2 linked regions of the Lepisosteus oculatus genome follow. The protein of the gene in region 2 interacts with the protein of the main gene of each other region in a pairwise test. Links are inferred from orthologs where the notes say so. Each region holds a gene or a part of one and is shown on either strand. Other genes may lie near its edges.

What was found.
Region 1: the proteins of akap9 (region 2) and pkn1a interact in a two-hybrid assay, tested with the Homo sapiens proteins (2 studies listed by BioGRID). The link is inferred for Lepisosteus oculatus from reciprocal best matches to the Homo sapiens genes AKAP9 and PKN1.

The regions. Positions count from the first base shown.
Region 1 is NC_090706.1:13,878,795-13,894,264, forward strand, and holds the start of pkn1a (serine/threonine-protein kinase N1), read right to left. Parts: upstream 6,571-15,470; 5' UTR 6,106-6,570; coding exon 5,965-6,105; intron 5,453-5,964; coding exon 5,152-5,452; intron 4,092-5,151; coding exon 3,946-4,091; intron 3,809-3,945; coding exon 3,685-3,808; intron 1,647-3,684; coding exon 1,501-1,646; intron 876-1,500; coding exon 662-875; intron 1-661. UniProt on the Homo sapiens protein: PKC-related serine/threonine-protein kinase involved in various processes such as regulation of the intermediate filaments of the actin cytoskeleton, cell migration, tumor cell invasion and transcription regulation.
Region 2 is NC_090705.1:5,250,135-5,266,052, forward strand, and holds the start of akap9 (A-kinase anchor protein 9), read right to left. Parts: upstream 6,787-15,918; 5' UTR 6,595-6,786; coding exon 6,547-6,594; intron 1-6,546. Other genes in the region: transcription termination factor 1, mitochondrial, read left to right, coding at 14,529-15,689. UniProt on the Homo sapiens protein: Scaffolding protein that assembles several protein kinases and phosphatases on the centrosome and Golgi apparatus. Required to maintain the integrity of the Golgi apparatus. Required for microtubule nucleation at the cis-side of the Golgi apparatus.

The sequences.
Region 1 (15,470 bases), on a different chromosome or scaffold from region 2:
CCACCCAGAGACACAGTGACACCCCACCCAGCACCTCCAGAGTCCCTGAGCCCAGAGAGACACAGTGACACCCCACCCAGCACCTCCAGAGTCCCTGAGCCCAGAGAGACACAGTGACACCCCACCCAGCACCTCCAGAGTCCCTGAGCCCAGAGAGACACAGTGACACCCCACCCAGAGACACAGTGACACCTCACCCTGCACCTCCAGAGTCCCTGCGCACAGAGAGACACAGTGACACCCCACCCACAGACACAGTGACACCTCACCCTGCACCTCCAGAGTCCCTGCGCACAGAGAGACACACTGACACCCCACCCAGAGACACAGTGACACCCCACCCACAGACACAGTGACACCCCACCCAGCACCTCCAGAGTCCCTGCACACAGAGAGACACACTGACACCCCACCCAGAGACACAGTGACACCCCACCCACAGACACAGTGACACCCCACCCAGCACCTCCAGAGTCCCTGCGCACAGAGACACTGACACCCCACCCAGAGACACAGTGACACCTCACCCAGCACCTCCAGAGTCCCTGCGCACAGAGAGACACACTGACACCCCACCCAGAGACACAGTGACACCCCACCCAGCACCTCCAGAGTCCCTGAGCCCAGAGAGACAGAGTGACCGACAGCAGGCATCAGTTACCTGTGAGGGGTGAGGGCTTGCTCAGTGTGCTGTACTGGTTCTGCAGGTAGGGGCCGCACTGCCGGGCGCTGAAGGCCGGGGAGGAGTCCAGTACCAGCTCCTCCTTGATCAGGAAGCTCTTGGGATGATCCTCCGGCAGCTCGGTCAGCCGCTGCTCCAGGGAATGGCGCAGGAGGTCCATCCGCTGGGAAGACTCGCTGAGCTTTGTCTGGGCCTGGCAAAGAGCAGTCGAAAGCTCAGCACTGAACCGAGCCAGGACTGGGCATGGGACAAGGGGAAAACCGAGCTGGAGCAGGCCTGGGACAGGGAAGGACCGAGCCGGGACTGGGCCCGCAAGAGGGTATCAGTCGGGCCGAGCGTCCGCGCGGGACCGTGCGGGTGTGGGTCCCAGCGTCCGCGCGGGACCGTGCGGGTGTGGGTCCCAGCGTCCGCGCGGGACCGTGCGGGTGTGGGTCCCAGCGTCCGCGCGGGACCGTGCGGGTGTGGGTCCCAGCGTCTGCGCGGGACCGTGCGGGTGTGGGTCCCAGCGTCTGCGCGGGACCGAGCGGGTGTGGGTCCCAGCGTCTGCGCGGGACCGTGCGGGTGTGGGTCCCAGCGTCTGCGCGGGACCGAGCGGGTGTGGGTCCCAGCGTCTGCGCGGGACCGAGCGGGTGTGGGTCCCAGCGTCTGCGCGGGACCGAGCGGGTGTGGGTCCCAGCGTCTGCGCGGGACCGAGCGGGTGTGGGTCCCAGCGTCTGCGCGGGACCGAGCGGGTGTGGGTCCCAGCGTCTGCGCGGGACCGAGCGGGTGTGGGTCCCAGCGTCTGCGCGGGACCGAGCGGGTGTGGGTCCCAGCTGTACCTCCAGCATGGCCTTCTTGTCGTGAGCCTTGCACGCTCCCAGCAGCCTCTGCACGTTCTTGGCGCCCTCGACCACGGCGTGCTCCACGCGGTAATGATGGCGCAGCTCCTCGATCCGCAGCTCCACCGCCGAGAGGTCAGGCTTCCCTGCGTGAGGGAGAGGGGGGTCAGGCCCGCGCCGCGGTGAAGAGGGGAGAGTGCAGGTGGGGAGGGGCCGCACAGAGCCGACGGGGTGACCCAGCCGCACAAGGACGCAAAGCCTCCTTGGAAAATGGTGCTTCGCCAACCCTGCCGGAGAGCTTGGCGACAGCCTCCCTTCGTGTGTGTGTGTGTGTGCGCGTCAGGGCTGCGTCTGGGGATGAACGCCGTCCTCTCCTAAAAAGGCCAGGAGCAGCCAGCCAGATGCCCCAGCGGCTCACAGACAGCGTCTTACAGCTCGGGTTCAGCGCAGCACACACAGCAGTGCGCCGGGGCGAGTGTGAGTAAACACTGCCACGCTCCGAGTACAGTATCCAGAAATAACCCGGACCCCCCAGGCTGTGGTCCTCCCTCCCCTCCCTCCCTCTCTCTCTCTCCCCAGAACCTGGGAGCACAGGCCACAGCGACAGGAGCGGGAACAGGAGCTGTCAGATTGCTGAACTCCACCGCTGCCTCTGACTAAACTCATCGACATCACTGCTCTCACTGATCTGCTCTGTCTCTTCTCACACTGCTGGTGCCGGCTTGCTTTTCTAAGGCTGTATGTTATTGAGCCCGGTGTTGCTGCCGCTGCTGCTGTTCTGTGTTGACGTTCTGGCGATTCCTTAATGTCTCTGGATCGGAGCAGCCGTATCAATAAGCGTTTCCCCGAGCCGAGCTGTGACAGGACAGGCAGCTCACAGACACGCAGGGACGGCACGGCTGGCGTCTCTCTCTGCGGAGACCATGGCATCAGCTCGCGTCTCGCCTCGCTCTGGCCCGACCCTGTGCGGCCCCGGGGGCTCTGCTGACCCCTCTGTTGGGGGGGGGGGTGGATTGATTTGCAGCTCCATCTAAGTGGCCGGCAGCGGCCTGGGCCGGCGGTCGATAGCTGGGCATCACTCCTGATGCGTGCTGGAGACGGATGTCTCAGCAAATCAGCACTACCCCTGGTCCCTTTGGCCCTTTAACGAGCTCTTAATGAGGGCTAATGGTCACGTAAAAGGCTCTGGGATGGCTCTGTGAGTGCTCTCTTGATGACAGCACTGATCAATCTCCTGTGCTCTTTTCCTGTCTGTATCTGGGCGAATACAGGAGGGAAAGCAACAGCGGTGGGCATCGCGGCTTCCTCAGCTGCTTCCCAGTGGACTGACCCTGACTCAGTTTCCAGCTCATCAGACCGACACTGGACTGACCCTGGCTGTCCTCAGTGTCCAGCTCATCAGACAGTGATACAGACAGAGACACAGACTGACCCTGGCTGTCCTCAGTGTCCAGCTCATCAGACAGTGATACAGACAGAGACACAGACTGACCCTGGCTGTCCTCAGTGTCCAGCTCATCAGACAGTGATAGAGACAGACAGAGACACAGACTGACCCTGGCTGTCCTCGGTGTTCAGCTCATCAGACAGAGACACAGACTGACCCTGGCTGTCCTCGGTGTCCAGCTCATCAGACAGTGATATAGACAGAGACACAGACTGACCCTGGCTGTCCTCAGTGTCCAGCTCATCAGACAGTGATACAGACAGAGACACAGACTGACCCTGGCTGTCCTCAGTGTCCAGCTCATCAGACAGTGATACAGACAGAGACACAGACTGACCCTGGCTGTCCTCGGTGTCCAGCTCATCAGACAGTGATACAGACAGAGACACAGACTGACCCTGGCTGTCCTCAGTGTCCAGCTCATCAGACAGTGACACAGACTGACCCTGGCTGTCCTCAGTGTCCAGCTCATCAGACAGTGATACAGACAGAGATACAGACTGACCCTGGCTGTCCTCAGTGTCCAGCTCATCGGACAGTGATACAGACAGAGACACAGACTGACCCTGGCTGTCCTCGGTGTCCAGCTCATCAGACAGTGATACAGACAGTGACACAGACTGACCCTGGCTGTCCTCAGTGTCCAGCTCATCAGACAGTGACACAGACTAACCCTGGCTGTCCTCAGTGTCCAGCTCATCAGACAGTGATAGAGACAGACAGAGACACAGACTGACCCTGGCTGTCCTCGGTGTCCAGCTCGTTGGCCTGCACTGCCTTGCGGATCTGCATGCGGATGATGTCGATCTTGGTCTTGCTATCCTGCAGCATCTGCTGTGCCGTCTGGAGGAGCTTCCGGTCCTGGAGCAGAGAGAGGGAGAGGGAAGCACGAAGGCCTGAAATGTGTCTGAACTAAAGAAGGGCAGAGCGAGTCTACGGTGGCAGAGTCTACATGAGAGCACCAGGAAGGAAAGAGAGAGAGTGCTGGAGAGCCATACCTTGGTGGAGCCGTTGGAGTACATGTGAATCATGTTTTCTGCCCCCTGCTTGACCTTCAGCTCGATGTTGAGCTGCTTCTCCAGAGCGGCGATGCGGTCTTGGTTGGCAGAGGAGCGGCTCACTGTACCAGGTGACTGAGGGGCATCTGGGAACAGACAAACAGCTTGTCTCTTACACAGTTCCGACAGTGCACCAGGGCTTCACTGTCACTGTGCTCTGTGCTCTGTTACTGTGCTGCCTGCTTTGTCACTGCACTATACCACTTTGTCACTGTGCCTTGCTCTGACACTGCGCTCCGTCACTGCGCTCCCATGGTACGCTCCGTCACTGCGCTCCAATGGCACCGTCGCTCGCAGAGCTCCGACGGCACACTCGGTCACAGAGCTCTGACGGCACACTCGGTCACAGAGCTCTGACACCGAGCTCTGACGGCACACTCGGTCACAGAGCTCTGACACTGAGCTCTGACGGCACACTCGGTCACAGAGCTCTGACACCGAGCTCTGACGGCACACTCGGTCACAGAGCTCTGACACTGAGTTCTGACGGCACACTCGGTCACAGAGCTCTGACACTGAGCTCTGACGGCACACTCGGTCACAGAGCTCTGACACCGAGCTCTGACGGCACACTCGGTCACAGAGCTCTGACACTGAGTTCTGACGGCACACTCGGTCACAGAGCTCTGACACTGAGTTCTGACGGCACACTCGGTCACAGAGCTCTGACACTGAGTTCTGACGGCACACTCGGTCACAGAGCTCTGACACCGAGCTCTGACGGCACACTCGGTCACAGAGCTCTGACACTGAGCTCTGACGGCACACTCGGTCACAGAGCTCTGACGGCACACTCGGTCACAGAGCTCTGACGGCACACTCGGTCACAGAGCTCTGACGGCACACTCGGTCACAGAGCTCTGATACTGAGCTCTGATGGCACACTTGGTTACAGAGCTCTGACACTGAGCTCTGACGGCACACTTGGTCACAGAGCTCTGACACTGAGCTCTGACGGCACACTCGGTCACAGAGCTCTGACACTGAGCTCTGACGGCACATTTGGTCACAGAGCTCTGACACTGAGCTCTGACGGCACATTTGGTCACAGAGCTCTGACACTGAGCTCTGACGGCACACTCGGTCGCGGAGCTCTGATGGCACACTCGCTCACTGAGCTCTGTCTCAGCGCAGTGCTGCTGTTACCTCTGATCTCGTCAGGGCCCTTGACGACGATGTGTGCGTCCAGCTCCTGCAGCTGTGCGTGCAGCTCGTCCAGGCGGCGGTTGGAGCTCTTCAACATGGTGTCCACGCTCTGCAGGTTGCGCTTGTCCGTGGTGGCCCGCCGAAGATTCTCCGCCCCTTCCTTGATCTTCAGCTCCCGACGGATCTCCCGTCGAATTCGCTCCCGCTCCTCGTCCAGGCGCTGCTGCACGCTGGTGTCCGAGAAGTCCGCATTCTGGTCCAGGCCCAGCTGCTCCAGAACCGACAGGCCCGCTGGATCACTCTGTAAGAGAGCAGGAGAGGAGGAGGTATTGTGAGAGACTGAGGGAGAAGGCAAGAGAGCTCAGCTGCTGCGAAACTGACAACACACCTCTGTCCACATGTCACTCAGGGAAAGAGAGAGGGAGGAGAGGGTTGGAGAGAGGGAGAAAGCAGGGAAAGATGCAGGAGACAAAGGGACAGGGAGAAGAGAGGGAGGGAGAAGGAGGAGAAAGGGGTAAAGAGAGGGAGAGAGGAGGGAGAGAGCTAGGAGGAAAGAAGCAGGGAAGCAGCTGACAGCCATGTCCACAGAGAGAGGGATTGTGGGACAGAACAGAAAAGGCTTGTGGGGGAGGAAGGCAGAAACAGAGAAAGAGCAAGACAGGGACAGAGCTCCGTCACTGTCTACAGTTCACTCTTGTGCCCCCTGAACACTCTTCCCAGAGACACAGCGCAAACACAAACTACAGAAGACAGTCTGGTCTAAATCCCTGCAGGGGCCCATCAGCCCTCGGCCTGCAGCGCAGACTGACTCACTTCCTGTTTCCTCCATAGGCCTTCCGAGAGCAGCACCGGGCTGCAAGACTGCTGCAGAATAAAGGATTCTGTTTCTTTATAGAGACGGACGCTGCACTCTCTCTGACCCAGGCTGGATTGGAAAGCCCCTGCCTTCTGCATCCTCCGAGAGCAGACAGGACAGCGTTTCTGAAACTCTAAAAACTTCGCCAGTTATTGTTTCCACACCTCCGCTTTGGGGGACACCCAGAAGGCAGCGTGTCCATCTGCTCTTCCCATGTTTCCTAGAGCAAACCTGACTTCTGTGCTGTGAAACATGTCTTGCGTTCAGCCCATCAGGAGGAGCTCTGTGAGTGTGAGGTCACTGGTCATGTGACTCGCAAGACGCCCATGTCTACAGAAGATCTGGTCTCCTCTCTCTCCACGCAGCACAGCTTTGGTTCTGCGCTGAAAGTTTCCTCCTTCATTTACATAATTTTATTGCAACTGTACAGAACCACACCGCAATAATGCCTTTGTCTATTGTGTAACCTGATGCCTGAAAAACTGAAATCCGTTTTTCCTGATATTTCTCACAACATTCCAGATCCTCCTAAGTGAGCATGAAGAGGCATGCCGCTCCTCTGTCGCTCCATGAACCACAGAGGGCAGACAGAGAGGTGGCAAGTACACTGCAAACTCACAGGCTGCCTCAGAGCACGCTCAGCAGATCTGTCTAAGTGTCAGGACCCTTAGGATAGCCCAGATCTGAGCCAGCGAAGTCCGGGCGGAAACAGAACCCTATGCCAAACAGTACATGTATTGGAAGTAGGGGGTGTGGAAGGGATTTGACTACATCCCCTCGAGCCTGTCACCAAATGCTCTGATAGTAGGAGAGTTCTCTCTGTTAATTCGTTATTAACTAATCCAGCTCACAGTACAGTAAATCCAGTCCAGCCCTGGAGAGTCTCAGACTGCTCGGTCAGTGTGAGTCTGATTATAATCTCAGTTAGTAACTAATCCAGCTCACAGTACAGTCAGTCCAGTCCTGCCCTGGAGAGTCTCAGACTGCTCGGTCAGTGTGAGTCTGATTATAATCTCAGTTAGTAACTAATCCAGCTCACAGTACAGTCAGTCCAGTCCTGCCCTGGAGAGTCTCAGACTGCTCGGTCAGTGTGAGTCTGATTATAATCTCAGTTAGTAACTAATCCAGCTCACAGTACAGTCAGTCCAGTCCGGCCTGTGCTCTGTGATGTCAGGAGGAGACATGCGAGGCTGCTATCTATTCCTGCTCTCAGCAGATTAGCACTGGGTTTAACAAGTACGAGTTCATATAACAACTAATGAGTCACATAGTAATGAGACACATTCAGGATGACAACTCTCTGGAAAACTGAAGCCTGTTGACCTCTCAAATCGATGACAATTGAATCAGAAAGAAAAATAAACAGATTAGGATGGAAGTGATCCCTGCGCGGTGCCGAGCCTGCGCCTGGCCGTCCTGACAGCACCCTCCTCTCCCCTCCCCCATCGCACACACACAGGTCAGCCCCGTCCCTGGAGGCTGAGGCCCGGGGCCACGCGGGGCCACACACACACACACGGGGCCCCGGCGGGGAGATGGGAGTGGCCGACACAGGAGCGGAGCAAGAGAACGAGAGGGACGGCGGCGAGAAACCGAAAACCGCGACGTCAGCCAACGGACACTGGAGCGCCGGCGGCCGCGGGGCCGAGCTGCCCTACCGCGGTCTCGATCTCCGGAGCGTCGGCCGCGCTCTCCTCCGCCCGCGGCCCGGGCCCCGGGCCCTCCTCGCTGGACATCGCTGGAGTCCCACAATCCCACGCTCCCAGGCCTCCCCCCACCCCTCCCTCGCCGGCACGCGGCACTGGCCGCTCCCACCCGGACTGGATGTGCAGGGGAGGGAGGACAAAAAAAAACAGGCGAAACTTGGAACAAAATAAAGAGCACAAGGTCCCGAGCTGCCGCGCGAGAAACAGAGAAATAATCTGCGCCAGCCCCACCCGGGGACTTCCTGTTCTCTAACTGCTGATGGAGGGACGGCAGGCAGAGAGAGAGAGTGACTGAGCTGGTACGTGTTGCAAGCTCAGCCACACAGCTTCCTTCCTGCTGTCACTGGCTCCGGGAGGCGAGAGGTCGAGACGCTACGCTCGTCTCTCGCTTCTGAAAACGCAGTGGTGGGGGTGGGGGGGGAGACGTCAGACCGGCACGCGGGGGGCTCGGCTCAGCCGGGGCGCTCCTGCTGCCCATACGCCACGCGCACGGACGTGTGGCGGCATCTCTCTTGCTCTCTTGCCCCCATGGCTGCCTCCCCCTCCCGGCCACCACTGCAGGGTCCGAGCGGGCCGCCCGCGTCTGCTAGCGCCCCAGCTCTCCGCCCCCTTCCTCAATCCGGACGCACGCAGACCGGAGGGGAAACTGGGAACCGAGAAGAGGGAACTGGCCGCTGAAACACGACGCGCTTCAGAGCAGGAACGAGAAGCCGGAGCAGAGACGCGGGGAACAGGCCGCAAGATCAATGGGCTCCAATGCATCACCGCTGGCGAACGGGCATGGGCCGAGAGACGTCGCCAAGCTCGAGCACCGCTTGTGCTTAAGCTGTTTGTCAGCTCAGCCAGTCCCTGTGTCAACCCCTGCCTGTGTTTGTCAGCAGGCCCCTGTGTCAGTGAGTCAGTCAGTCACAGTCGGCAGGCCCCTGTGTCAGTCAGTCAGTCACAGTCGGCAGGCCCCTGTGTCAGTCAGTCAGTCACAGTCGGCAGGCCCCTGTGTCAGTCAGTCAGTCACAGTCGGCAGGCCCCTGTGTCAGTCAGTCAGTCACAGTCGGCAGGCCCCTGTGTCAGTCAGTCAGTCAGTCAGTCAGTCACAGTCGGCAGGCCCCTGTGTCAGTCAGTCAGTCAGTCAGTGAGTCAGTCAGTGAGTCAGTCAGTGAGTCAGTCAGTCACAGTCGGCAGGCCTCTGTGTCAGTCAGTCAGTCAGTCAGTCAGTCACAGTCGGCAGGCCCCTGTGTCAGTGAGTCAGTCAGTCACAGTCGGCAGGCCCCTGTGTCAGTGAGTCAGTCAGTCACAGTCGGCAGGCCCCTGTGTCTGTCAGTCAGTCAGTCACAGTTGGCAGGCCCCTGTGTCAGTGAGTCAGTCAGTCACAGTCGGCAGGCCCCTGTGTCAGTCAGTCAGTCAGTCTGCTGTATCAGCCTGTCAGTTGCAGTTAATATCGTTGCCAGTCATCAGTGTCTGTCGGCCAGCATTTCAACAGCGGACCACATGCTGATTGCTACACTGCAGAAGAGAAAGTTCGGAGAGCGAGGAGATCTATTCTGAGAGCTGCAGGAGCTTGTCTGCTCCTGCGCTGCTCTGCGTGCCGCAGCAAGAGAGGAAGGGCAGGCAGAGGGGCTTCACCAATGAGGCGATCAGAAGAGAAGGGACGTCCGTCCTCGAACAGCAGGAGAGGAACTCTGCCCACAGAGCGCTGCCGAGGCAGGTCAGCGGGCACCGCTGCCCTCACCCATCCCCCAAGCGACGCCCCCCCAAGGCCAGACCCGGGTCCGGTCCCCCCGTCTGCAGAGGACCCCGAGTCGTCTGCGAGCCTCTGCGGAAGTGGAACCGCCAGCGCACAGCGGAGCACTTCCTGCTGCCGCGCGCCGGGAGCAGCAGAGAGAGCCGGGCCGGAGGAAACGAGAGCACCTGGCCCGCCGACCCCACTCCCCCCCCGGCCGGTCGGCCCGTCGGCGTGGCAGGGTACCTACACTCACAGTGATCCCCATCCATGCCTGCTGTGTCCCTACGTGGGCACGCGTCCGCTCGGGGCTCCACGCTCGCTCCCTCCCTCTCTCTCTCAGGCCACAGAGCACGCCACAGCCGGGGGACTGATCGCTCATCGCCGCTCTTAAAGAGACAGCAGCACCCTCAGCCCCGCTGGACTGGCTCAGACGAGGCTGGAGCCCTCTCTCACACACACACACCTCTGCTCCTGGTGGACTGCCTCAGACGAGGCTGGAGCCCTCCCTCTCTCTCTCACACACACACACCAGGCCTGGTCAGCACTGGGATCTGCTGTGAGTGGTGGACCAGTATGGAGTCAGTAATTACAGCCTGGCCACAAAAACTGGACACAGACAGACCTGATTGTCCATAGAGGACAGGCTCAGTGACCACAGCCTGGCCGTAGTAACTGGACACAGGCAGACATGGCTGTCCATAGAGGACAGGCTCAGTGACCACAGCCTGGCCATAGAAACTGGACACAGGCAGACCTGGCTGTCCAGAGAGGACAGGCTCAGTGACCACAGCCTGGCCACAGAAACTGGACACAGGCAAACCTGGCTGTCCAGAGAGGACAGGCTCAGTGACCACAGCCTGGCCATAGTAACTGGACACAGGCAGACCTGGCTGTCCGGAGAGGACAGGCTCAGTGACCACAGCCAGGCCATAGTAACTGGACACAGGCAGACCTGATTGTCCAGAGAGGACAGGCTCAGTGACCACAGCCTGGCCACAGAAACTGGACACAGGCAAACCTGGCTGTCCAGAGAGGACAGGCTCAGTGACCACAGCCTGGCCATAGTAACTGGACACAGGCAGACCTGATTGTCCAGAGAGGACAGACTCAGTGACCACAGCCAGGCCACAGAAACTGGACACAGGCAGACCAGGCTGTCCAGAGAGGACAGGCTCAGTGACCACAGCCTGGCCATAGAAACTGGACACAGGCAGACCTGGCTGTCCAGAGAGGACAGGCTCAGTGACCACAGCCTGCCCACAGAAACTGGACACAGACAAACCTGGATGTCCAGAGAGGACAGGCTCAGTGACCACAGCCTAGCCATAGTAACTGGACACAGGCCGACCTGATTGTCCAGAGAGGACAGGCTCAGTGACCACAGCCTGGCCACAGAAACTGGACACAGGCAGACCTGGCTGGGCTGTCCAGAGAGGACAGGCTCAATGATACTAGGCTGGCCACAGAAACTGGACACAGGCAGACCTGGCTGTCCAGAGAGGACAGGCTCAGTGACCACAGCCTGGCCGTAGTAACTGGACACAGGCAGACATGGCTGTCCAGAGAGGACAGGCTCAGTGACCACAGCCTGGCCATAGTAACTGGACACAGGCAGACCTGATTGTCCAGAGAGGACAGGCTCAGTGACCACAGCCTGGCCACAGAAACTGGACACAGGCAGACCTGGCTGTCCAGAGAGGACAGGCTCAGTGACCACAGCCTGGCCACAGAAACTGGACACAGGCAAACCTGGCTGTCCAGAGAGGACAGGCTCAGTGACCACAGCCTGGCCATAGTAACTGGACACAGGCAGACCTGGCTGTCCGGAGAGGACAGGCTCAGTGACCACAGCCAGGCCATAGTAACTGGACACAGGCAGACCTGATTGTCCAGAGAGGACAGGCTCAGTGACCACAGCCTGGCCACAGAAACTGGACACAGGCAAACCTGGCTGTCCAGAGAGGACAGGCTCAGTGACCACAGCCTGGCCATAGTAACTGGACACAGGCAGACCTGATTGTCCAGAGAGGACAGACTCAGTGACCACAGCCAGGCCACAGAAACTGGACACAGGCAGACCAGGCTGTCCAGAGAGGACAGGCTCAGTGACCACAGCCTGGCCATAGAAACTGGACACAGGCAGACCTGGCTGTCCAGAGAGGACAGGCTCAGTGACCACAGCCTGCCCACAGAAACTGGACACAGACAAACCTGGATGTCCAGAGAGGACAGGCTCAGTGACCACAGCCTAGCCATAGTAACTGGACACAGGCCGACCTGATTGTCCAGAGAGGACAGGCTCAGTGACCACAGCCTGGCCACAGAAACTGGACACAGGCAGACCTGGCTGTCCAGAGAGGACAGGCTCAGTGACCACAGCCTGGCCGTAGTAACTGGACACAGGCAGACATGGCTGTCCAGAGAGGACAGGCTCAGTGACCACAGCCTGGCCATAGTAACTGGACACAGGCAGACCTGATTGTCCAGAGAGGACAGGCTCAGTGACCACAGCCTGGCCACAGAAACTGGACACAGGCAGACCTGGCTGTCCGGAGATGACAGGCTGTGCTCCTACTGCCAGCGGGGATAAGCAGAGACAGAGATCCACTTTCTGCTGCAGTGTGACAAACAAATTAGACAAACATTCTTCCATAAAATAAACCTGATCCCAGAATTCCCCCACCTGCCAGAATCAGAACAGCTCCCGGTCCTGCTAGAAGAGGAAACTCAACAGAGCAGAAGCCAGGTATGTGATCACCTGTTACAGCCTGAAGAACAGAGAGCATAATAATAACACAATAGTAATCTGTTAGATCTGTTAATAGTAATAGTATAGATATGGTCTAATTGTTGTTGCTTTAGACCTGTCTCACCGTTCTGAAACACACACTTACACATTCTCGTACACACACGCTGAATCTCACACACACTCATAGCACTACACACCCTCACTCTCTCGTAAACACACTCATTCTCCCATTCTCTCATACACACACACACTCATAGCGCTACACACACGCTAACTCTCTCACACACACTCAGCGCTACACACACACTCTCTCACACGCTCACTCTCACACACACGCTCATAGCGCTACACACTCATAGCGCTACACACACACTCACCCTCTCACATACACTCTCTCACACACGCTCACTCTCTCACACACACACTCATAGCGCTACACACACACTCACTCTCTCACACACACACTCATAGCGCTACACACACGCTCACTCTTTCACACACACTCAGCACTACACACACGCTCACTCTCTCACACATACACATAGCGCTGCACACACACTCACTCTCTCACACACACACTCACCCTCTCACACACTCATAGCGCTACACACACATTCACCCTCTCACACACACTCATAGCGCTACACACACACTCACAGCGCTACACACACACTCACAGCGCTACACACACACGCTCACTCTCTCACACACACTCACTCTCTCACACACTCATAGCGCTACACACACACTCACTCTCTCACACACACTCATAGCGCTACACACACGCTCACTCTCTCACACACACTCACAGCGCTACACACACGCTCACTCTCTCACACACACTCACTCTCACACACACACTCACTCTCACACACACACTCACAGCGCTACACACACACTCACTCTCTCACACACACATGGTCATGGGATCCTGCCTGCACTCTGACACCCCGACACTCCCCTCGCGCAGGCGCTGCCCTCGAGCCAGCTGCCCTGGCCGCCCCTCACAGTGCCGGGGGCTGGGGGCGGATCCCTGTCCCAGTCCCAGTGTGTGGAGGAGAGCTGGCCCGCGAGATGGTGCTTCATCTGGGAGGCCGGGGCCCTGAGAAAGGCAGCAGCCCCACGGGCCGGCCCTCCGCCTGACTCCACTGCGCTCAGAGCACACGGGGGAGAGCAGACGCCACTGCAGGGCTGGAGAGGCAGTCTGTCAGGGGGCCGTGTGCAGGACCGGCCCGGCTCTCCCGAATCACACAGCACTGATCTCACAAGGGCGGGCTTGTGTACTGGACAGAGAGACACACACTGCTACTGGACAGCAGCACACACACACAGACACACACACTGCTACTGAACAGCAGCACACACACACACAGACACACACACTGCTACTGGACAGCAGCACACACACACACACACTGCTACTGGACAGCAGCACACACACACACAGACACACACACTGCTACTGGACAGCAGCACGCACACACAGACACACACTGCTACTGGACAGCAGCACGCACACACAGACACACACAGACACACACACTGCTATCGTACAGCAGCACACACACACACTGCTACTGTACAGCAGCACACACACACACTGCTACTGTACAGCAGCACACACACACTGCTACTGTACAGCAGCACAAACACACACACACACACTGCTACTGTACAGCAGCACAAACACACACACACACACACCGATATAAAGCCACAGCTTTGAAACACCATCGCTCACAGACACTAACAGATATCTAGAGGGCCACAGTGTAACAAAAACAACACAGAGAAAGTAGTACAAGACATAATGAGACAAGCCCCAACACAATGTTGTTACATCTTTAGCAGGCAATATTAATCCACGCAGGCACAATGTTAATGGTTCACAGGCCTCTGGGCGAGTGAGTGCTCCACAATTCTGGAAGTGCTTGTGTCTGCTTTGTCTCGGGCGAGATGTCAACAGGAGATAAAGTTGGGGGAGATGGAGAGGGGGGTGGCGGCGGGGGGCTTGCTCAGTGTGAGAAAGGCCTGGAGACTGGCTGGAGCACGGCGAATCAGGATGAATGGGGCTATTGTCTCTCCGGGAGAGAGGACGGGCACGCACAACGCACACACACTCGTCTGTATTCCCATCTCTGCGGGGATTTTCCATTGACCCTCATTCTATTTTCATTCAGTGATCTATACTCCTCCGCACGAAACTCCACACGGGGCGAGAACACACAGCTCTGGCGCTTCGGATTTAAAAGAAGCCGCCTCCTGGTTTGGTGAAAACCTCGCTCCCACATCCTCCGTCTGTCGGCAGGCATCCTTGGGGGGAGATTTCCTCAGAGGTTCCCCCATACTGGTATCCAGACAGCCCCAGTGCCAAGCTCTCTGCCAGCCCGGGCCAGGACCAGCCCTGACCCCTGACCCCTGACCCCTGTCCCAGCGCCAGCCTTCCCCCTCTCCCTCATCCTGGCACTAGCTCGAACCCTAGTCCTGGCCCACTAACACGAGGGCAAGACCTACAACATGCTCATGCTCTGGTACAGAGACCAGACCCAGCGGTGCTGAGACAACAGGCCCGCAGAGCAGGTCCAGCCCAATCAGGACCAGACCCAGCTGTACTGAGACAGAACAGGCCCGCAGAGCAGGTCCAGCCCAATCAGGACCAGACCCAGCTGTACTGAGACAGAACAGGCCCGCAGAGCAGGTCCAGCCCAACCAGGACCAGCCGCAGAGCAGGTCCAGCCCAACCAGGACCAGCCGCAGAGCATGTCCAGTCCAACCAGGACCAGCCCGACCAGGACCAGACCCAGCTGTGCTGAGACAGACCAGGTCCAACCTAACCAAGAATAGACCGGACCCTGGACCCTCACTCTCGGACCCAGGGCTGATAAACAAGCTCATCCCCAAACAGTTCCTTGTTGCTCCCAGACACAGGCGTACAAGCTGAGCCGGGAGAGAAAACACTCCCAAAACCTGTCTGACCAGGGAGGCGTCCGTCTCTGCTGCAGAGCCACCAAGGACGCACGGCCACAGGGGTTCGAGGGAGCACCAGCACCCTTGGCTGTGTGCCAGCGAGCTCGCTGTGACGTCAGCAGGAAGTGCTGTATGCCTGCACACACAGGAAGAACCAAATAAACCTGTCAGAGCAGACTGAGGAAGGACAGAGCGCACACACACACACACTCACATCCCCCTCGCTGCCCTGACAGAGCGCACACACACACTCACACTCCTCGCCGTCCTGACAGAGAGAACACACACTCACACACTCCTCTCTGCCCTGACAGAGAGAGC
Region 2 (15,918 bases):
GACACATTGCAGGCCTTAAAAAAAAGTTTCAGTTTCAGTTTTTAATATCCTGCAGGATACAAGATACAAGTCCACCGATCCATCCATTTTCAAACCACTTTATGCAATCCAGGGTGGCAGGAGAGCTTGAACCGATATTGGTAAGCAACAGGCGCAAGGCAGGATACACCTTGGACAGGAGGCCAGTATATCACAGGGCACACACAGACACAAACACACACACAGCTTGTCTTTGGACTGTGGGAGGAAACTGGAGCCCCCAGTGGAAAATGGGGAGAATATACAAACTCCACACACACAGCCCTCCAGGAACTGAACAAAGGCTGGGAGTGCTGGGAGGCAGCAGTGGTCACCAATGCAGCACCGTGCTGCCCCACTGACAAAGACACCCCAGGGAATTCCTTCCAGATTAAATGTGAAGAAGTCACCAAGCACGTGTATTTTAGGACTGGAAAAAGGAAATGAGATTCTTTATACAAAGATTTGTGCATGTCAATGCACAAAAGGGCCTGGGATCCTTCAAGGCTGGATAAGATTCTCAGATCAACAAGTTACTTGCAACAGAATATGCAAAATGGGTTTAATGGCTTCTCACTTAAAATACCTCACTTTTCCGTTTTCACCATACATGGGCTAGATATTGGTTAATTAATAAATTATCTCCTTTCACACTTTAAATAGATAAAAATACATGTTCTTCACGACTAAACAACTTACAAAACAGATTGCTGCCCAAACATAAAAGTAAAGATTTACATTACAAAAAATACACTTGTTCCCCAAAAAATAGCCATACAGAGAAGGAGACATTAAATTTGAAACAGAATGAACACACTGCAGTGAATAACTTAGCAAAGGAGTTAAAATGTACAGCACAAGGGCCTACATTATTCATAAAACAATCATAAGTAGGGGCTATAAAAAACAAATATCTGACGCTTTAGAAAGAAAATGCATGGATGACATTGTATAATCCTGAAATCGTAAGTTTCCTGAATGTCCAAAGTAACTTCTGCCAACAGTGCAATGTTAGGACTCTTTAAACTACATGGAACAAACTACCTCACAAAATCTGGCAAGGCTACCCAAACTGTACCGCAAGACCAAGGGCTGTTTGTGGGGAAAGATGAATGACCTCACAGTCAGTGATAAAAGTAATTCCAAGGGAAAACAGTAAACTGATTCACTCAGGGTCAGCCTTTAACAGTAGGATCAAGCGTGGGTTCAGTTAAGACAATGGATGCTACAATAGCAACTGTTCCTTAAAATAAGCAAATATATATGGAATCACATTGTTATGTCTGAGAGCATACCACCAAGCACCCTATTGTAAAAAGGTAAAACCCTGACTGACATTATTTACATGAACTACCCCCTTATCTTGTTTATCCCGTTACTGCAACAGAATTGTTCAAAGAAATCTCATTTAATACAACAGTTGAAGAATGAAACAACAATATCAAAGATTATGAATGATTACATGAATCAATAAAATAAGGAGTATAAATCACAAGTGGAAAAGGCCAGATTACACTGTTTATTATTTCTTAATGGTCTGGGCATTTATTTAAAAGACTAAGGTACTCAAGTGGCAATTTTTAAAACAGTTCATGATCTCAGTCTTCGTGGTTTTTTGAAGGTGGTCAGTGTGTCATCTCCAACAACATGGCTGAGTAGCTTGTTCCATACTCCCACAACCACTAAGGCTGTGTTGAAGGTGACAACCCTCGTGACATACTTCTTCACTACAAATTCATTACGTATTTGCCTTGTAATTCAATCGAACCCTTAAAATGCCCATTACATGGTTCATACAACTTCTCAACAGACCAACAGAATGCCATTATTATGCTCTGAGAGAAATGTGAGATTTACTGGATGGTGCTGGAAAACATGATGCCACTGTTTCTTTTGACTATTATTGAGTCTTTATGCGCCGTTATATATTGTTTTATCAACCACTACATTCGTTGATGGTCTTTTCCTGAAATCCACTGCATTTGTGTGACTTTTTGTAAGGCTGTGCTCACCAAGGAGCAACATTTTATTTCCAAATCTAAAGCTGACCGGCTGTGCAGGCAGCTCTCTTTAGACAGTCTGCAACAAACCCAGAATGCACAGCGGCTACTTACAGAATACATACGCAATAGGTGATTCAGCATCTCACCACAGGGGAACACTCTCTTTCTGAAGATATCAAAAACAAAAGACGCCCACGTTTATCCTATGGATATTCACAATTTGGTAGATGTACAGGGCCTCTCCCCACCGAAAAGGTCTTCATCTGCATTGTTAATGCATGTAGCCACACAGACTTTGTCTCTGATAATAATAATTTACAATATCACTACTGCTTAGCAAGCAGACAAGACCTAAAACCTAGTGACACACACAGGAAAAACACCCATTTGCCTGCAGAATGACTGAATTAATAATCACTGATTAAAGGCAGAGTACAATATTCAATATTCAGTTATAAAAAGCCATGGGCAATGTATTTTTACATCATGCAAATCTAAACCACTATGCATTACACTGCATCTGGAATTGTAAAGATCTGAAGGTTTTTTCTGTGAGTTTGGGCTTAACAGCTTGCAAAATTGCCTATATTTGTCAGTAAACAGCATGATACAAAAATAACACACTGATGAGTATGTAATCATAGCAGCCTGTTTTCCAAATCATTGTAACAATTTATTGGCGCTTTTACAGTATAAGAAATTAAAATAAGTATAAAGACATTGCTGTGCCATAGTTCTGAAAACTAAGCAAGGAAAATGTGGAGAAATTTTATTTTAGGCAATATATCTTTCACGTAGTTAAAGATATGAACACTGAAATTAAAAATAAATACATATTTTAATGTTATACTATTTTAACAACAATATTCCATGGGAAATGAAACCTAATAACTTATTTCCTAGTTTTTACTGAATTGCAAGCTCTCTGATCTTTTCCTGCTCTACTGCATTTATTTTTGTATACAGAACAGAATACGATTCAGTTTCTTCAGCATGTCTTCTCTTCTTAGCACACAAGAGCAAGGCTTCATGGAAAACCCAGGACATCCTGGTTGAAAGAATCTGCTTCTGCCTGTAAAGCACTGAGCAGTGAATACAGTACGTGCCTTAATCTCACAAGGAAGGGAGTGGCATAAAATCTCATGTATTGAATAATACACCCAGTCATGCACTAACATCGCTGTGTTCCACGTGCTCGGTTCATTGACTAAATAACACTCTAAACTCTCTGCAAAAGCATGCAGCTTTAATTCGATCTGCTTAGTTACAGCAGGCCCAAAACATTTCATAAAGCAGTTAACTAACTTTAGGGTCACTCTAATTCTTGGCCTACAGTGGCGTTCAATTTATTCAAATCCAGTCATCGCACCTTAGGTGACTCACACCTGAGTTTTAATGGAGCCTACAGTATGTGCACACACCACATACTGTACATTGTTCTTTTTAAGAGACACCAAACATTTAGGAGATGATGTCGGTAGTCAAGCACACTTCAGGCTCAGACCTGCGGATCGAGCTCACAACTCCGAGAGTGGAATGAATCTGTTCCCTGCCTTGAACACTCAATACCCTTGTTCTCCCAAATAGACATGGGATGGCCCACTTCACACTGCAACATACAGGGCTCTCTTGTGTTCAAGATAAGCTTACTGTATATATCAGTTAGACCTGCCTGAAGGTTTTGGGAAACTGGAAAAACCATTCAGGACTTTATAATCATAATAATAATTGCTTACACTTATATAGCTCTTTTCTGGACACTCCACTCAAAGCGCTTTACAGGTAATGGGGACCCCCCTCCGCCACCACCAGTGTGCAGCCCCACCTGGATGATGCGACGGCAGCCATAGTGCACCAGAACGCTCCCCACACATCAGCTATCAGTGGGGAGGAGAGCAGAGTAATGGAGCTAATTCATAGCTGGGGATTATTGGGAGGCCATGATTGGGAAGGGCCAATGGGAAATTTGGCCAGGACACAGGGGTTACACCCCTACCCTTTTCAAGAAACACCCTGGGATTTTTAATGACCAAAGAGAGTCAGGACCTCGGTTTTACGTCTCATCTGAAGGACAGCGCCTGTTAACAGTATAGTGTCCCCTGTCACTATACTGGGGCATAAGGACCCACATGGACCGCAGGGTGAGCGCCCCCTGCTGGCTCCACTAACACCTCTTCCAGCAGCAACCTTAGTTTTTTCCAGGAGGTCTCCCATCCAGGTACTGACCAGGCTCACACTGCTGAGCTTCAGTGGGGCTGTCAGTTTTAAGTTGCAGAGTGATATGGCTGCTTCGAAACAAAAATACAACAGACTCGCCTTTTATGCTAAATATTTTTACCCGAATTCGTATTTACGTGGTGGGAGATGAAAAAAATGAATGGAAAATCAAATAATGCAGGGAATTTAGCAAATTCACATCTGGTGTGACATGTGTGGTGTGGTGTGGTGTGGCGTGGCCAAGTAGATACTGAGGCTCCAGCAAATTGAGATTTTGAACAAGTTTAGGGGTGGGACGATGGTGACCTGTTTGGGGCGTAAGTATGGCAAGAATGAAGCTTCAATTCTTGCAATGAGAGGCAGAAGACTTTTCGTCCGCTATGTTCCCTGCATTTAAATATCAAATTTTATTTGATCTATTTTGTATACTGTACAGTAATGTATTGACTGTATTACTGTTTTCATAATACCTTAAGCTACATACATACACATACAAATACACCTGCAATTGGTTGCAGGGAGGGGAACAGTGGGGTCTTAGGGAGATGCTCTAGTTATACATGATTTTGGGTATACAGTAGGCACTATGTCAGGAAGCCAAAATGTCATTTACTGTATATAATCACTTCCTGAATATCAAAGTACTACCCAAAAAGGCTTTTGGTTTTAATAATAAACCCAAATTATCAGCAATGTCTTTTGTCTTGAACAGAACATGTTTCCAAAAGATACCCAAAATCGTCAAGCCTAATATAAAAGCTGCTTGCATAGCACTAAAGTATTAACAACCCTATGCGTTAGCTGGGAACTAACAGCATATAGTAAAATCACCAATAAAGTCCAGTGACACTCTGGACACATTAACACTGTAAACCTAGCAGAAGGATGTTCCCCTGCTGATGCATGGCTGTTTCACTGCGGGGCAGAGCGCAGCATAACTGGAAGGTTGTGGGTTCATACTCCTGACGAGACACTGCTGTCAGCGACTCACTAACACAACATCGGGAGAAGCAAATTGGTTTTCACAAGGATTTAGGCTCTCGGACACAACATATATCAGATGATTTCACACTGAATTTCATCTTACAAGGTGAACAGAGTGCATCCGGGTGAGGCTTTTAATAAATGAGTGAAAATGTTAGTCTCCTACTACTGATAAGAACCTTTACTACAAAGGAAATAAATTCAGGGGGAGGACCTAAAACCTACTGTATTCTCATTCGTCAGACAAAATTGTAAAGGAGACAACAATTATGAGTTTGCAAAGGCCATGCCCACAGAAACTAAAAGTGATCCCATTGAAGAGATAATATGACCAGAATGAGCCTACGTAACACTTGCACTCTTCTGCCCTGCTCATACTGTATTTTTAGGTGCCACGGGATAAGGGTCTGGTCTATTTTTAAACTGCTGTATCTTTGTCATCACCCTCACACACACATATGAACTTGGGCAGAAACATTTCACTGTTGCATGAAACCCCAGCCTTTTCAAGAGCACTGTTAATAAAATGGGCCGATATATTCTCACCTGTGCAGACTTCTGATTTCTGGAACGTTTTGCTTATTTCATTTAATAACAAGATTTCAGCTACAGTGTGTTTCGGGTGCAGCAACTTGTATTACAAACTACTGTACATATAAAAATAAAATGAACAGTAACATCAACAGTGCGGATATACATTATTACACTATTTTATCATTGATAGGTCAACGTAATTATTTATAGAAAAATATAAATGAGCGTTAAAAAAACAGTGAAAACCTAAGCACTTTGTCTTAATTATAATGTGCTAACTCACTGAATCCTGCTGATTGAAGAAACGCAGTAACCAATGTGATGTAGAGCCATTCAGTGCCGTATCTTACAGCGATGACAAGTTCAACGATGTGAAGGCATGCTTCTCACAAATCTTGTTCAGCAGGAATCTCGGGATTGTCTTTTTTTTTTAAACCGATCCAAGACAGTCCAGTCATGTCATGATCAGTCCGACACACAATCCGCGTTTTCCCCGACAGCAAGCGTACGTGAAACTTACACGCCACTTTTCAAAGCTTCACTACAACAAAGACAACCAAGGCAAAAGTGAAGCTGTCAGTCGGAGTTGCAGTGTTAAGGACAGCTGACAGATACACTGCAGCAATACGGGGCCTGAGCTGTAGCTACAGTAGATCAATGAAATAGTTACTAAATTACTGCCGGTTACACTGCGCAGTGTTACAACTGAAAACAACTAGCCGGCCTAACGACACGAAATCATTTCTGAGCACACTGTCCTCACAATAGCGCATTCCCTCAGATGTCATACCTTCGCTTTGCCGGCCTCCAGCTTCTTCTGTCTCTCTTCGTCTTCCATTACGGTCGTTCCTGGGCCCAGGAAGAGGAGATTAAGGCTTCACACAAAGTGTCAGTTAAAAGGGTCAGAGCCGGTCTAACGAACTGACCACGTACTGGCATGTAAGGCTTCTTCTGCAGCTCCTAGCAAATACACTGTGCAAAAAACGTGTAGAGGACTCTCCGTTACTGGCTCGCCTCGGCCGCCATATTCAATACCACGTAAACACAGGGACCGCTGGTGATGACGTTCCTGAAGGTGCCTGCTTGCGATTCACGCCTCCAGGAAAAAAAAAAAATAACTCGAGGAGGGGTTTAGTTTAAGGTGGCAGCAGGTAAGGAATTTGCGTTTTGTAAAAAGATGAAAATTAAAAGTTGAGATCATTCACTTGGGCGTGCGGTATGTGCTTCGGCTATATTTCGGTGAGCAGGCTTCCGAGTCGGTTAAACTTTGGTATCACTTCTAAGATGTATAAATTTGCTCTAAATATGGTCTAATCAATATTTCTGTGAACGACAGCTCTTTATTATTCTTTGTTTGATTTGGTGGTTATTTACTGTAAATAAAGTTAAATACGAAATGAAGTATTTTCAGTAACAACATTTAATTATTTTTCCTATTATACTAATGTGTTATATGATTTATTGGGAGTAAAGATGTAATGCAATGCAATACTGTGCTGTACAATGAAATGCAGTATTCTTGTATGGTGATGTTGGGCAATGTTGCAATATTATAACTTCAATGAACCGATAATTCATTAAAAAAAACATAATTCTTGGAAGCACATTTTAAATGAATAGACACCTGTGGCTGGCAAGCAGACTGCTGATGGATCAAATTACTGTCTCGATAAGGCCCTCAACTCCGTTAAAACGTCTAATTGTATTAGTATTGCAACCTCAGTTTTCAATACTTTTTTATATCTTGTGCGATTCTAATGTAGCCAAACACTTAGTATCATACCCTCCAAGCAATCACCAAGCAATATGGACAAAAAAGCTAAGACAATAAAATGCAAAGCTAAACACCTGATGCGACCTTTGTTTAAATGCACTGGGGGGACATTTCACAATTCCTGAGGTTTATACAATAAATAGACTACGTACCTGCAGGAGAAGGTGGCCTCTGTCTCCGGACCACTGGGGTTGTACAGCTGATAGTCTGGCTGATCTTTAATTCCACCCATCTTCGCTTGGACATTTTTAGGTGTCTGTAGCAAGATGCGTCTCTCTTCTTTCTGAGGGCTCTGCGGCTGTGAGGCTACAGCTCTGGGACTCCAGACCATCAGAAAGTTTAGGGCATTAATAATTGACGTGACAGGAGTACTGTGTCAGCCACCGTAACTTAAGCACATACTGTAGGTCTGAGGCCATAATGAACTTATAAGAGGAACATGTCTAATTGACATAAAATTTGCTCCACAGTACCAAGTGTGTCTTTTTTTTAAATGAAGCCACAATGGAAAAGTACTTGTATCACAATGTAAAATGTAGTACACAAATTGTGGCAAACTCAGTTTCAGTTTTGTAGGAGGGTTATTCTTGCTAATCGAGGATTTTTGGTCATGCCCTGTATTTGTAGTACTGTACATGCGTTTTAAGGTGCTTTAGTGATAAGTATACATGCTTAAGGAATTTATTCAATAAGAGGAAAAGTAATATGATCCTGAAACATAGTCGATGCTGCATTCAATTAGATTTAACGCTTTGGAAAAATATTGCACTTAAATATTTTGATCTGAACCTGTAAATCCCCTGAAAAGAAGACATAGGACTAATGACTCCTTATATACAAGAACAATCTGAATGAACAAAAGTTCTGCCGCAGACCTGATGCAGAGAAGAGGGCTCTAACTCCACTGACTGTTCTGTCTGAGAAGCAATGAATGTCAGGTTCCACTGTCCCCAGTCACACTTCATCTCAGAGAATGGCCTTTGAGCACTGTATGAGAAAGCAAACTGTTTTAAATACAATACATGAGAAAGGAATGGCTGTATCAGGTTCCCAGCTCACTGCTGTTTAGCATCCTTCCAGTCTGATGGTGAATCTGTAAGTGATATTGATCTACATCCGGTAGCAGCTGCTTCAGAAGACACAGCTCTCTGAACAGAAATAAAAAAACAGTTGTTTAATTTGTTTATTAGTCAAGATGAAAAAGCACCTTGGGCTAGAATTTCTGTCAATCTCTCAAGTTACTGAGAGATTTTCAATGAGAAAAGTTCTGTAGCAGTCATTCAATTGAAACTTTTGGTAAAGGAGTTTCTCAGCCATTTGGGATTTGGGCTACTGTACCCCTGTTGGAACCTGACATACTTCTTCGAGTGATCAAGGAATGGATGATCTTCTCAATCTCACCTTTTTCATGAAAACTGCTCATCTGTAAATCTCTCTGGAAGCCGATCAGACATTCCTACTAAACACAGCAGAAGAAAAGGCAATATAACATATCTTGAACTTTGAACTTGAACTTGAACTTTATTGCCATATGTAACCGGTACTGGTACAATGGAATTCTTACTTACAGAAAGTCTCTCGATTGTAAAACAAGTGTAAAAAACAAAACAAAGTGCAAACAGTGCATCAAGACAATGTACAAACAAACAATAGACAATGTGCAAGTAAACATGTAGACAGTTTGAATGTAAACAATACAGACGTGAAAACAATGACTGGAGATGTGCAATAGATAAGAAATCATAAAGAGGTAGATGGTGATGGTGTAGGTGTGGTCCGAGGGGGATGGCTAAATGCGTTCGCCAGTCTCACTGCTTGTGGATAGAAGCTATTGAAGAATCTAGTGGTAAGTGTCCGTATGCTCTTATATCTCTTGCCTGAGGGCAGTGGGGTGAAGAGCTCATGCCCGGGGTGGTGACTGTCCTCTGTGATGGCCAGAATTCTACCACGGCAGCGCTCCTCATAGAGCTGTTTTATCTCGGTGAGACCGCAGCCGATGATCTTCTGGGCCATATTGACCATTCTCTGCAGTGCAATTTGTAGCGACAGACTGAAAAATGACACTCAGATTTTAGTTATAAATAAACTGAGGCTGTATCAAATGCAACAAATGATACACAAAGGAGGAAGAGTGGAATGGTAGTTAACATTGAGTCTTGGGGAAACTGAGTGGGTTTTCTCAGGTCACGAAAGACATGCCAATCAGGTTAATTGGATTCTCTAAACTGCCCCTTGTATGCGAGTGTGCCCTGTGATAGACTGGTATCCCATCCAGGGTGTGGGCCTGCCCTGTGTCCTGAGCCTGCCAGCTGAGGCTCAGGATCACAACGGATCAAGTGGCCACTGCAAATGAATCAATAAGCAAAGCAGTAATTAAGAGAAGCAGCCAATATAAAATGGGTATTGTTGGCATAGTCTAATCTTAAATGCAGGGACAGCTAATGGAATTCAAGAGTGACAGCTGGATGTCATGATGAAACCAGAGAAGGAGAATAAATAAACAGCAGAGGGCTGTTAGTGCCGAAACATGAGAGTGTCTAACATTCACAGTTGTATCCATGCATTTGATGGTGTCAAAAAATAAATGGAATCTATTCAGGTGAATAATAAATACATTCCAAAATTACAATATGACTGATCTGTAAAGTAAATAATACCCTGCCATTGAAAATACTAAAGTAAATTATACCTTTCTTAATCAACTACCTCTCTGTAATGAATAATGAATTGTATAATGAATATAAAATAACAGAACAAAATGATTTGGTTGTATAGCACAGTCTTGTCTTAAAATGTGGATAGAATGTTGTCAACAGATTTCCTGTTGTCATCAGGTTGTAGGTCCTGGAGATGAAGAAATGGGGGTTTAGACAGGTGTCTTAATTAATAATAATAATTAATATTAATAATTGCTTATACTTATATAGCGGTTTTCTGGACACTCCACTCAAAGCACTTTACAGGTAATGGGGTCTCCCCTCCACCACCACCAATGTGCAGCATCCACCAAAGTCTTAACTGGTTATGCCTTTCAGGAGGATCCCCTCTTTAGCCTGACAGGGGTGCAGTGAGCAAGGAGCTTCATTTCAGACAGCATAGGCCGCAAGGCAAGATCACACCTTGGATGAAGTCTGATAGACCCCTGAGCCAGTATCTAGCTCATGAATGTGACATGGTGAAGTGACTGTGGTTAATACTATTCCTGAGATTTTTCTAAATGGGTTAGTCTTATTTTCCTTGGTTTGTTGTGGAACTGTACTATAGCTTGATATGACAGTAATCCATACACTCTAATGAAGATTTGCAGGCAGACATGTCACCTCTCTGTGCCACCAAAAACAGGTTGTGTCATTTGACTCTGTGTGACGGTGCTGTGGCATTTAATTAATTGTTCTGGAGGTACATAACAACCAGTGTTTGCTTAGTCTTTAAAAATGCCATTCTGTGCGAAGAAAGATGTCTGTGAACAATGAGGACTGTATGTCTTAGCTCTGCCCTGCAGTGACGTTTGGGGTGACAGCGAAGGGTTCTGTTCCTTCTGGCCCTGGGGAAACAGACAGCAGCGAGTTAAATGGAGCCCACCGTCCAACATGACAATAGCAGCTACATTACCAGTGTTGTTTATGGTTTAGGGGAGGTCTGTGGCCGAGCAATCCTTAGTCACCTTCGACAGAAGACCTGTACTACAATAACAGTAATTAAACTTAAATTACTGCTGTCCGTGGAGAAAGAACAATGAAAAATGTGTGCATGTGAGGCATTGGAAATATTTAAAAGTACACTTCTACTGGGCAGCATTTCGATGGCATACTGACAGAAACATTTCCTTTTTCGCACTGCTACAAATCTCCCCCTATTGTGAGGCCAATTTTCCTTCTCCTTCCTCGTGTTACGGAACAAAAAAAAACGTTTTTCGATCTTTGAAAAACATGGTGTGGGGACATGCACTCCGTCTCTTCTGGTTCATTTTCTAAATGTAATTGCAACACTTCATGTGTGCTAGAATACGTGACTCAATATTTATATGAAGGATAATATGATTAAAGCAATTATTAACATGCGCCATTTCTGCCCCGTGTCTGGGCGACCAGTTGATGCCATCTAGTGGTCACAGGTCATTGCGACTCCGTAGCGGGAATGCGATCCCTTCAGGACTGCAGAGGGCGCCAGCAAATGCGTTCAATCAGAAATAACCGCTGTTGCAGGACACTTCTCTTGCCGTGCTAGTTCTATTACAAACAGCGGAAATGACCTGTGAAAAGGGTAAGGGAAGAGGTTGACTAGAATGGTGTGCTTTTCAATGAAAGCAAGTGTTTTGTTGCGTAGCAACAGAATTGAAATGTGTAACTCAGTATAACCTTGCATACCAGTTAGCCTTGCTTGGGACAATAGTAATATCGAGTTATTTTCCTGTTTGTGGGTTAATATATTAATTAAAAACAAAGGACCCGGTGAAAAAAGATGCACTGTACACTAGTGGCAGTGCAGGCTGCGGCAGTACTTTACCCAAAAGGCTTGTGTTAGTGACGTGTTTCTTATATGAATTGGCACGTTTTCCAGTATATTTTATTTGCATTTGATTTTACACTTCCTAGAATAAACGGTTCAGTGTTATAAGATAATTGAATATGAAACACGACAAATTATGAGACTGCAGCGCGAATCTGCTTCCGCATGAGGCGATGAAAGTCTCTGACGTCACGGCCATTGGTATCATCAATTATACGCTTTGCTGGTGTGTCTTGTTCACAATTATTACCTTTAAAAGTACTACACTTACATATTCTTTAGGTGTTTGGATCGTAGGTCTGCTTTACGCGAAATCCCATTGCTCACGACCTTAACCTTTGTTCCAGAGTGCTGGATTCTCATTCTCAATTATAACATGTTGTTTATATTAAACTTCTAACGATTATCAGGCATGAAAACACATCTGTTACTGCTAATAATGTTTTGGGGGGTATTTAAACATCAGATGAGCCTATCGTTCCAAGATCAATTTTCATGACAAGAAGAAATTACCTTTATCTGTTAAATTAATGTTACATTTAGAGCATCTGAATTCCATTCAGATAATTAAGATTACAGATAGATAATGTTTTTGTCATTTGTAAAAATAACGAATGTAGTGTTTTTGGTAATATCAGCTTTGATTTTATTGTTCTGTATTTGGAAAATGTTTATTAAGAATGTATAACCGCACTCCCGCAGCCTTTGGGTAACGACGTGACTCCTGTTTTTAAATGCTCTTCCACGTAGCTGCTACTTGTGACCTCTGACCTCTGGCTTATTCCTAAGACATCCGGGTAGACGTTGAGGCTTTTCGATACTGGTATCAGTTGCCCTTGCTAACGTTTCTGATAAAAAAACTATAAAAGTCCCTTCAGCCTGTCAGCGGAAGTTGTCTGTATTTTACCCCAGGAATTTTGAGAGGATGAGAATAGTGTTTTTTTCAATTTGTTCAGATCTTATATGCCCAATGAAAGTTTTATTTTTTTAAAGTTTTATTTTATTTTTTTTAGACTGCTGCTGGCTTACCTGTCATCACCCATCATCTCTGCAGAAAATGCATACCCGAGCTCAGTGTGAATCCAGGACAGGAGGGATTGTGGGGGGGATTGTCTAATTCCTCAGTACACCATTGGCCAGGGCAGCTCTAGCTGGGAAATACAAGCCTTGCTGTCTGCTGGTGCACACACCTGGTTCAGCAATGACTCCAAGGCCCAGTGGTAAAGTATAGATACTAAATGCAGGCTAAGCAGGAATAGTACAGCCCCCTGCTTTAGCTGATAACACATACGGTACCTACTGTGTAAGATACAGATTTGTGTGCAGGCGAGCTAGTATGTGCTTTGTCATGTTTCTTCGCGTAATATACAGGAGTTTGATCACACTCTAGGAAAAATATCGACTAATTTATTTGTAATTAGTAAGTTATTGTACCTTGCGCAAGGGTACGACAGCCATGCTTATCCCCAGAACTGAACCTGCAACCTTCCATCTATAAATCTAATCCTAGCCAGAGCTTTACACTGCTGCCTCTGAGTGCCAGGTAATAAGGGCAGTTTATTTTTAATCACCAGCAAAATCCCAAAACGGGCTGATGGAATTATTCTATCCCTGTGAACATTCATACTTCTATTTTTTAGGATACATAGTATTGTGCTATTAGTGCATTAGTGACCTAATGTGACACATAGTGTAATTAAAAATGGAGGCTTGTTTATTGAATTTCTACATCTTATTGTCACAACGGTTAGCCCATATTCTCAAAAATGTGTTTATATATAATACCTGTGTTTGTTTCTATCTAGGCACTGATAAAACATGGCAGTGATTCACTTGCTCTGAGCTTGAATATATAGAATGGGAACTATATAGAGATTTAGGGCAGTGAATCAGGGAGGCTGAAGTCTTTTGTTGTGCTTCTCAAGATTACCATTAGACCTCCCCGAATATGTTAGGCAAATCGGTTGGTTAAATATTTAAGCAGAGCAAACAAGATTTCCATCAAGGTAAACAGTAAATTCAAGCTGCAGGGATGTGCTAATGTGCCTCACAATGAACAGTTCTTCAGTCCCAGCCAGGGCTGTGAGGGGAAAGATTGTTTAGTGTGTTGTGTGTGTCTCGGAGACAGCACTTCACACACTAGTTTACAAGTAATGTATTAAGACCTCTAACTTCTGCCCTTTCATATTCTAAAACTCACCTACATATTTCCTAATCTGTGATTAAGATATTTGAACGGTGCCTGCAAGCCTTGTTTAAGAAGGGCTTTATTCTTCTAAGCATTAACATTATTGCATTATAATTATGAATTTGCATGATCCAAAAAAGCAACATCAGTGAAAGTTAAATAAAATCTGCATTATCCCCAGCTTTGTTACAGAGCAGTTGTAAGTCCATTTGAATGTTTTAGTGTTATAAATAAATAGCAACGAACCATACAGAACACTAACTTTCCTTTCCATTCCCCCCTCCAGGCTCCTGAATATTGCATGACGCCTTTGATTTGTGAGATGGTGCTGTCCAGCATCACAGGCATGCTGCACTGCACTTTGGGGCGAGCTGTGCTGGGTCTCTGTGTCTCTCGACAGCTGGCACCATGGCTTTCCTCGCTGCGCAGTTCAACATCTAAGGTCGTCCAGGTCAGCCCAGGCAAGGAGAACGAGGTGCTAGTGGAGAACTTGACCGTTCTAGGCGTGGACATTAAAATGGCGAGGAGACGGCAACCAGGCGTCCTTCGGAAAGTGATCACTAACGAGCAGGGCCTTGCCCGCTTTCTGCGGGCCAAAGGGGCGAGCAGGGAGGTGGTGGCCAGCATCATCTCGCGCTACCCTCGCGCTATCACTCGCTCCCACCAGCACCTGGAAGAGCGCTGGAGGCTCTGGAGGAACGTCTTCAAGAGGGACGACGAGATCGTGAAGATCCTGGAGCGCTCGCCCGAGTCCTTCTTCCGCTCCAGCGACAACGCCAACCTTGAGAAGAACATCGCCTTCCTGTGGTCCCTGGGCTTGACCTCCAAGGACCTCCACCGGCTCCTCACCACCGCCCCCCGCACCTTCTCCAACAGCGCCGAGCTCAACCGGCAGATGGTGGAGCTGCTGCAGGACATCTGCGTCAGCCTGGGCGGCACCGACCCGGAGCAGTTCATCAAGCGGATCATCTCCCGGAACGTGTACATCCTGATCCGCAGCACCAAGCGGGTCAAGGCCAACGTCGAGTTCCTGCGGGGCGCTCTGAGGCTGAGCGACGCGGAGCTGCTGCAACTGCTCCAGGGCCACGGCGCAGACATCCTGGACCTCTCTAGCGAGTACATCAAGAGGAACTTCCGCAGCGCCGAGCAGAAGCTGAGATCGCTCGGCTGCTGCCAGGAGGGGGTCAAGAAATTCATCATCTTGTACCCTCCAGCCCTGTACATCTCTCCTGAGAACCTGAAGAACAAAATAGACTGCCTCCTGGAGGGAGGGGTGGATATCGAGCAGATACTGGAAAAGCCACGGGTGTTGGATTTCAGTGCTGAGACGGTGAGGAGCCGGCTCAGGGTACTGGAGAAGGCTGGGTACGACTTTAAAAAGCAGGGGATAGCCATTTTAGACTCCAGCCGAAAGCGCTTTGAAGCAAAGTTAGAGAAGTTATCGGAGCAGCCTGAAGAGTGAAAAGGATTGAAATCAGCCACTGCCTACTCACCTGTGCAGTCCCACATTAGGTTTTGCAGTCTTTTCATTAACATCTTTTGACAGAAGGATGGTTTTGGACATTTATCTTTCCTGCATTTAATATTGAACAACCGAAAGACATAATCCAGATAAAAAATAATAAATATCTATTTTGAACAATATGTGTATTGATTTAGCCTGCATGTAAAATGTGTGCTCCTTTTGCAGG